Linked DNA regions of Arabidopsis thaliana. The protein of the gene in region 2 purifies or fractionates together with the protein of the main gene of each other region. This does not show direct contact. Each region holds a gene or a part of one and is shown on either strand. Other genes may lie near its edges. The genes, in order: SGR4 and SYP51.

Region 1 (3,928 bases), on a different chromosome or scaffold from region 2:
TAAAGAAAACAAGAAAACATAGTCTTCTTTATGATATAGCCCTTAATTCTCATCTTATTTTGTCACTTTGTTCAGAATATCGTTGAGAATATGGAGTAAATGTGTTGCAGAGAGACAATACCGTTTCGTGGGCACGTAAGAGAGACTGTCTCTGACCGTGCAAGTCTTGGAGGATTGAAACACCGATTTCTTCAGTCTCCATCATTGTTCTACGACTGTCCTTGACTCTGTCAGTGGTTCGGCCCAGACGCTCAGTTGACATCATCAATCTTGCTCTCTGATCAGCTGAAGCCTGATCTCAGCGTTTCAATAAAAAAAGAAAATCATAGGTCGTTTTAATAGCAAAGATATGAGATGAGATAAAATTGAAACAATACTACCGAGTCCTTTACATACCGTCTTTGTGTCAGCCATACCAGCTTCTAGCAACTCATCACGAGCAGCAGCGTTCAACTGTCCAGATGTGATTCTCTTCACTTCAGTTTTGAAATTGTTCAGATCAGACTTGAATTCTCTTAATTTGACAAGGAGGCTGGACTTAAGATTAGGTGGAAGGGTCCTTGCCTCGAGATCCATTTTCCTAATCTGGTGAAGAAAAGGACAGAGAAGCATCAAAATGAATAATGGACAATAGAGAAGCTTCTATAACTTCACGTTACGCATATCACATACCAATACTTCTGCATTTTCCAGCCCGGATTTTATTTCAGACAACTTCTGCTTCTTTTGTTCTGCAAATTAATAAGGTATCATCAATGCATTTTTATCTATGCAATCAACAGAGCATACTCATCTAGGGGAAAAAAAACAATCCCGATGATCAGCGAACACTACTAATCACAATCTCCAAAGAAAGCAAAAGAAAGGCACACTACTATGTCCTAGCAACACATGAAGGAGACAAGAAGTTTATAGTCATCAAACACAAACCAAACTATCTATAGAATCGTTCTCAGTAACAAACAAAAACCGAAGTATCCCCAGTGTAAAAAAATGGCGATGATCAGCGACCAATACTAATCACAAGCTCTCTTCGTAATCAGAAACCAATACTATGTCCTTACAACGAAGTAGTAATTAAAGGATCTAAATCGCACAATACTCTGCATCAAAAACACAAACCAAGATATCTCTAATTCGTACATTGTTACATTCATAAGCTAAACCAGAATTAGTTATTTCAAATCTTAAGGAAGGTAAGGCAATGCCTGAGTAGGAAAAGTATCACATCTTAGAAAAGATTAGAGTAACAATTTTACCTCCATCAAGCGAAATAGCAGAGGAACACTTCTTTGAAAGACTCGCCGAGAGCTCACAGTATTGTCGCTCATATCCATCAAACACGTCACTCATTGTTCCAAAGGAAGACTACTAAAAACTCTGCAGAATCAGCAACACACACAATGATGATGAACCCTAATTCTGATTAAGAACAGATTACATTAAGCTGAAACTTTAAGAACAGATTCAATAGCCCAAAACCATCAACAAGACTAGGCTATTGAAATTCTTACAACGATTCAAAAGATAAAACTAAAATCAATTGATTGTTTTGTATAGCAGTCCAAAACCCTAAGATAACTAGATCACGTACAGAAGAAAGAAATGTCAACACGGGGAAAAAGGAGAAAAAAAAAAGACAGAAAAGTAAAATTGACGGATCAAAAGAGAAAAAGGATGACGAATAAGTGACGAAAATTCCGGTGATCGGAACAAATGGAAGAGTTTAGCCGGAGTATAAGCACAAAAAATTAGGATCAAAATTAGAAAGCAGAATCACAATCAGAAAAAGAGGAATTAGGCGAAAAATAGAGAAAGCCAGATTGAGACCTGAGAAGGTAACGGGGAAGAGGAGGTACGTCGGAGTCGGAAAATCGATCGGTGATGACAATTGTGGAAGACGACGATGAATTGATTTGATGATGCGTACGTCTATGAATGATCTATGGAAAATATGTTCGACGGTTGAGTAATTATATCCTACATCTAGGCTTTGTACACCACTTGGCCTTTTTTTTGTCCAGATCTTTTGGCAATGCCACTGCCTTGTTGGGCTTGCGGATCTGCCATTTTTGGTGTTGCGAAAAGACTCTTCTAGGGCCCAAACTTTTATAGGTCACTGAAAGTTAGTTTTTTTCTTTTTCTGTTCTTAATTGAGGCGTGGGCATTCGGGTACCCGTTCGGGTTCGTTTTTTTTTCCGGGTATTGGGTCTATTCGGGTAGGAGGTTGAGAACCATTCGAGTATTCTAAAAATTCGGTTCGGTTTCGGTTCGGGTTTGGGTCGGTTCGGTTATTTTAGTAAAAATGTAAAAATAACCAAAAATACCCAAAATATTTTTGGGTTCGGGTTAGATTCGGTTTTTTTATTCATATATACCCAAATCAACCCGAAATACCCAATTACCCGTAAATATATTGGTTACTTTTTATACAAATATAACCAAATGTAACCAAAATACTTAAATTATCTAAAAGAAAACTATAACATTTGTTACTTTTACCCAAATATATCCAAATATATATGAATTACTAAAAAAATCTAGTATAATCGGATTTATAATTTTAATTTTGGTATTTGAGGTATTACAAATATATATATATAACTAATATATTTAAGTTACATTCGTATTCGGGTACCCACGGGTATTAGATTCGGTTCGGGTTCGGTTCGGGTTTTTTCGGGTAGTAAGGTCGAGGACCCATTCGGGTAATTCTAAAAATCGGATTCGGGTTCGGTTTGGTTATTTTTCGGGTTTTTCGGTTCGGATATTCGGTTCCGGGTATTATGCCCAGGCCTACTAGTTAATTTTTTGGGTTTTTTAAAAACTTTAAATGTTATTAAAATATTGAGATTTGGTTTTGATGATTATCATTTTTCTTTGTCGTTACTCGTTTTCATTGAATTTTTCAAGTTCTTTTCGTTTATAAATTTATAACATTCAAAATTATAACAAATATTTATAATATTTAAAACTTCATAAAGTTTATAAATTATAAATATTTAAAACGTTTTATAAAGTTTAAATTTTTAAGAGTTTGAAAATTTGTAATATTTAACTGTTAATAAAGTCACACAAGCCAAGAATTAGAGTCCAAAATTTTATAGGTCATTTTGTTTTTGTTCTTAATTCTTTGTTTTTAAAAAATGTTATTAAAATAGTGAGATTTGGACCAAAAATTTACTTTTCTTTTCTGGTTTTGATGAGTACCATTTTTCTTTGTCAGTACCATTGAATTTTTCAAGTTCTTTGTATAATAGACGCAGCAGTTTCCAAATTGCCTCCAAATATATTTCCAATCAAACCCATAATTTCAACATAACATTCCATAAAAAAAACAAAAGCTCAAGACTCCAAAGTATTATAATCCCCCTATATTAAAAACAAAAAAGCTATACTGCAAAAAAAAAATTGATATCCTTGATTAAGCTTTTTCATCTGTATAGAACAAATTTTCTCTATTCCACCAAAACCGTCTCAGACCTCATTTCCCGGTACCGGAGGATCCTCAGGCTTCGCGTTTCGTCTCTGAAACTGATCAAGCTCCTCTTGAGGGAAAACTTCAGATTGAAGAGAAGGAGAGATCTTATTAACGTGAAGCCACGTTAGTTGCCAGAAACTGTCACTTCCGATATCATCACCTGGTAATAAAACTCCCGTCGCCTTCATTACCAGTAATGTGTTCTTGAGCAGTTCCGGGATGAGTTCATTGACTTTCTCGCTGCGTTTTCCTCTGAATTCAGTTGACATGTACGTTTCCAAACGGTTTAAGACACCAACCCAAAGTCTGCAGAATGATGGTTGCTGTGAGATGTCTTGAAGAGATTGCAGAAAAGCTTTTGACATGAGCTTTGTGGCGAGAACAAGCGTTTCTTCCACTGTTTTCTTGAGAGTCTTCCTTGAATTCTCGATCGAAAAAGTGAGCACA
Region 2 (3,928 bases):
ACGTTGACAATTCTTGGCGAAATAAAAAAAGGAACATGCATTACACTATCTCTTGTTTTGCCTCTTACAAATGTAGAGATTAAGAAACAGTACACATGTATAAAATGAAGGATCAGATACGTATTTTGCGAATTTTGTTTCCAGTGATGATGATATGAATATTGGTGTTTTACAAAATTTCCACAATGTTCTTCTTATAACAAACTCAGACAAGTTTCTTCGTGGAAGATTCTACAGATAATTTTTGTTTTTTTGTCTCTGTGTTTGACTTGCTACCACTTCTTAAATCTTTATGAAGACAGCAAAGAGCAAACTGTGATAACTGCACACATTATATATTACTTAAAGGGTTTTGGTAACAGAAGAGAAATGAAAAGCTCAGCCACAAATGTGGAATGAGGAAATACATTGCAACCATTCACATAGAGAGTAGAGGCCAGTGGACCTACAGAGGAACTTATAAGTTGTCTGATGTTGGTATTACATATACTTAACCAACATCCATATTACAACAGCAAGACCGACGATCCCCAGCACTGACAAGAGCATTGACATGCAAGAGCAACCACTTCTCATATTCTTGTTCATGACAGCAAGGCTCTTCTGCACTCTCTGTAATAAGATAACAGATCAATGTCTTTAATTAGCCATTAGCTTAAGCATAATGTGGTTCTTGGTTGAGCAAACCGAAAACAGATCACCATTACATCAGTGTTACTCCTAATGAAAGTATGGATCAACTAAAGCTTGGGATTCACCAAAGTAATTAGTTTGTTGAAATATTTAAGAGTTGAAGCATATATTACCCTTAAGCGAGAGTCAGTAACATCCACATGGTAATCTAAGTCATCCTGCATAAAGGAAAATCCAAATGTGTTAGTATCCGAAAATTCAAATCAAAGGCGAAAAAATGAAAAGCTAGTGACATACAATAAGCCTAGTCTGCAAGTCAAGCTCTTCACTAACAGCCAGAGCAATGTGTTTTGTGCTCATGACTGTTCCCTCCAATTGCTCAAGTCCTTCGTCTTGTTCTACTCACAGGAAAATAAAACATTCAATAGGAAAAAACAAATACAGAAATCAACATCTGTATTACGTTTACTAGGATAAGAGAGGTTTTACCTCTCATAACTTGTCGTTGATATCCAACAATTCCTTGGTTATCCATGCCAGTAACTCTGCTCATGGAATCATCCGGCTTGATATCTGGCCCGAGCAAGCTGTCTCTATTGGCAAAGTTTGACATGTTCAAAGCATTCGCCATCTGGTTTGCTTTTGACCTCAGATTCCCTACCATATCCTTTCGCCGATTCATCTCTTTCTCTGAACTGTGTCAGTAAGTAATAATTCAGATTAACACTAACCTTAAAGGTGTCTAATTTACAGATTTAAGCAATTAGGATTGGACTAGTAAATGGCTTACATAGGTTTTCCATGAATTTCAGCAAGAAGAGACTGCAGACTATCTAATTTGTTACCGAAAATGGTGATCTTCCTTCGTATAGCTGAAGCACGACGCTGAGCATCAGGCCCTGTGACAGCCGATGAACTTCTTTCTGATATCATTCCATTAATCTCCTCAGAGAGTTTTAAAGCCTCGTTGTATGCTCTCATCCATGAATCCGATGAAGACGCCATTATTCCTATATAATTAAAAGCTAATCAAAGCCTGGATCACTTCCATTGAAATTTTAAAATGATCAAGGATATATACGTAAGATCCAACAGAAACAACAACAAAGATCTACAAATTGAGACAAAAACGCGGCCTTTGACTACAATTTTGAGGCACAAGGCTCAAAATCTGAAATTTACAGGATCATGAAGTCCATTATCAGGGGAAGATCAGAGAGATTCAGTAACAGATATAATCCCTCATCAATGACTCGGATTGACAAAAATAACATCGTTTAAAGGATCGAATTGCTTACCAAATTATTTCTCGGACCTTTGTATTCTTCAATTTGTCCGAGCTCGTACCATGTAAGAGATCGGCTTATTAAATGTTGAGTCTGTAGTCGCCGGAATCACCGTGAATCGGAGGAGAATGATTCAACCTGTCACGCACCGGGTAGCAGGGCCCGTCGCAAGAAAGATGAGATAAAGACGAAGCTGAAATAAAACGACGCGGTTTTAACTTGTTATCTTGGAAAAGTTATGGGTTAAATTAGTTATTTAAGAAAGTATGCGTTAAGAAGCAGAAAGAACATATAAATGAAGGGATCAATAAAGAATATTTAAATTTTCGACCCATTATAATGGATCTATCCATCTCATGCCTGTTTCTTCCGTCTCCTCTCTTCCTTGCCAGAATCCTGAGTTTCTCTCTGACTGTGCTTAGTTCCATCATAACTATATCGTTCTGATTGCAGTTTCCGTTTCGATTATCGTTAATGGTGTTTTTGTTTCCGGGAAAGTGATAAACTTTGAAGCGCGATTTTGGTGTTCTAAAGCAAGTTCGAGAAGGGGATCAGAAGATACATTTACAATCTCTCGAGTACGATTCGGTTCATGTAAGTGTTAGCTCTCTTGTTCTTCCTTCACAAAGTTGAATCTAAATCTCAATCCTTTACCTTTTCTCTTCAAAATCATGTTTTGTCTTAAAACATTGAATGTTGATTATTGATTGAATAAGTCTGATCGTTAGTGGCTGAAACTTGTTTTCAGGGAATCAATCGAGCAGTCTATAATCCCAGGTTTGCCTGATGATTTGGCTTTGAGATGCATAGCGAAGCTTTCTCATGGGTATCATGGAGTGCTCGAATGTGTTTCCAGAGGCTGGAGAGATTTAGTTCGTGGTGCTGATTACTCGTGCTATAAAGCTAGAAATGGATGGTCAGGGAGCTGGTTGTTTGTGTTGACGGAACGTTCTAAGAATCAGTGGGTTGCTTATGATCCTGAAGCTGATCGATGGCATCCATTGCCTAGAACTAGAGCTGTTCAAGATGGTTGGCATCATTCTGGTTTTGCGTGTGTTTGTGTTTCCAATTGTCTTCTTGTGATTGGGGGTTGTTATGCGCCTTCGGTGTCATCGTTTCCTCATCAGAAGCCTGTTGTCACTAAAGATGTCATGCGGTTTGATCCGTTTAAGAAACAATGGAAAATGGTTGCTAGTATGCGAACACCACGGACTCACTTTGCTTGTACTTCTGTCTCTGGCAAGGTTTATGTTGCTGGAGGTCGTAATTTAACTCATTCCAGGGGAATCCCATCTGCTGAGGTTTATGATCCTGTCGCTGATAGGTATTTTTTCCCACACTAATGTGGTTTATATTCTCGTGTAGGATAGAACTGGCATATTTAACCCCACAATGTACTCTTTTTGTTTTTTTCTATGATGGGTCAAGATATAGTTTTAAAAGTTTTCTCATGTTTCACCTGAAAAGCTATCAAACTGGAGTATGACATAGTAGTATTGCAGGTGGGAGGAATTACCAGCAATGCCTAGACCACAGATGGACTGCTCGGGGTTATCGTACAGAGGCTGCTTTCATGTTTTAAGTGACCAGGTGGGATTTGCAGAGCAAAATTCATCTGAAGTTTTTAATCCACGAGACATGACTTGGTCCACTGTGGAGGATGTCTGGCCTTTCTCTAGAGCCATGCAGTTTGCTGTTCAGGTGATGAAAAATGATCGGGTGTATACTATTGTAGATTGGGGAGAAAGCTTGATCAAGACTAGGGATACAGATGAAGGGGAATGGTACAATGTTGGTTCAGTTCCTTCTGTTGTTCTTCCTAATCATCCGAGAGAGTTAGAAGCCTTCGGTTATGGGTTTGCAGCTCTAAGGAATGAACTCTATGTTATAGGAGGTAAGGTCCTTAAATGGGAAGAATCAGGGGCAGGGAGATTTGACATTGTGAGATTGCCTGTTGTGAGGGTATGTAACCCTTTGGATAGACCTCTGAATTGGAGAGAGACCAAACC

The links.
Region 1: the proteins of SYP51 (region 2) and SGR4 purify together in Arabidopsis thaliana (affinity purification with western blotting, with the first as the bait; one study listed by BioGRID). This does not show direct contact.

The regions. Positions count from the first base shown.
Region 1 is NC_003076.8:15,819,460-15,823,387, reverse strand, and holds the start of SGR4 (Vesicle transport v-SNARE family protein), read right to left. Parts: upstream 2,096-3,928; 5' UTR 1,831-2,095; intron 1,381-1,830; 5' UTR 1,354-1,380; coding exon 1,260-1,353; intron 1,170-1,259; exon of another isoform or gene 951-1,169; intron 732-950; coding exon 673-731; intron 586-672; coding exon 397-585; intron 293-396; coding exon 122-292; intron 1-121. Other genes in the region: GNL1 (GNOM-like 1), read right to left, coding at 3,478-3,928. UniProt on the Arabidopsis thaliana protein: Functions as a v-SNARE responsible for targeting AtELP-containing vesicles from the trans-Golgi network (TGN) to the prevacuolar compartment (PVC) and mediates liposome fusion. May be also involved in retrograde traffic to the cis-Golgi.
Region 2 is NC_003070.9:5,554,703-5,558,630, forward strand, and holds SYP51 (syntaxin of plants 51), read right to left. Parts: upstream 2,143-3,928; 5' UTR 1,932-2,142; intron 1,913-1,931; exon of another isoform or gene 1,749-1,912; intron 1,659-1,748; exon of another isoform or gene 1,644-1,658; 5' UTR 1,639-1,643; coding exon 1,424-1,638; intron 1,329-1,423; coding exon 1,123-1,328; intron 1,032-1,122; coding exon 931-1,031; intron 852-930; coding exon 807-851; intron 613-806; coding exon 481-612; 3' UTR 141-480; downstream 1-140. Other genes in the region: AT1G16250 (Galactose oxidase/kelch repeat superfamily protein), read left to right, coding at 2,512-2,513, 2,668-3,243, 3,422-3,928. UniProt on the Arabidopsis thaliana protein: Vesicle trafficking protein that functions in the secretory pathway.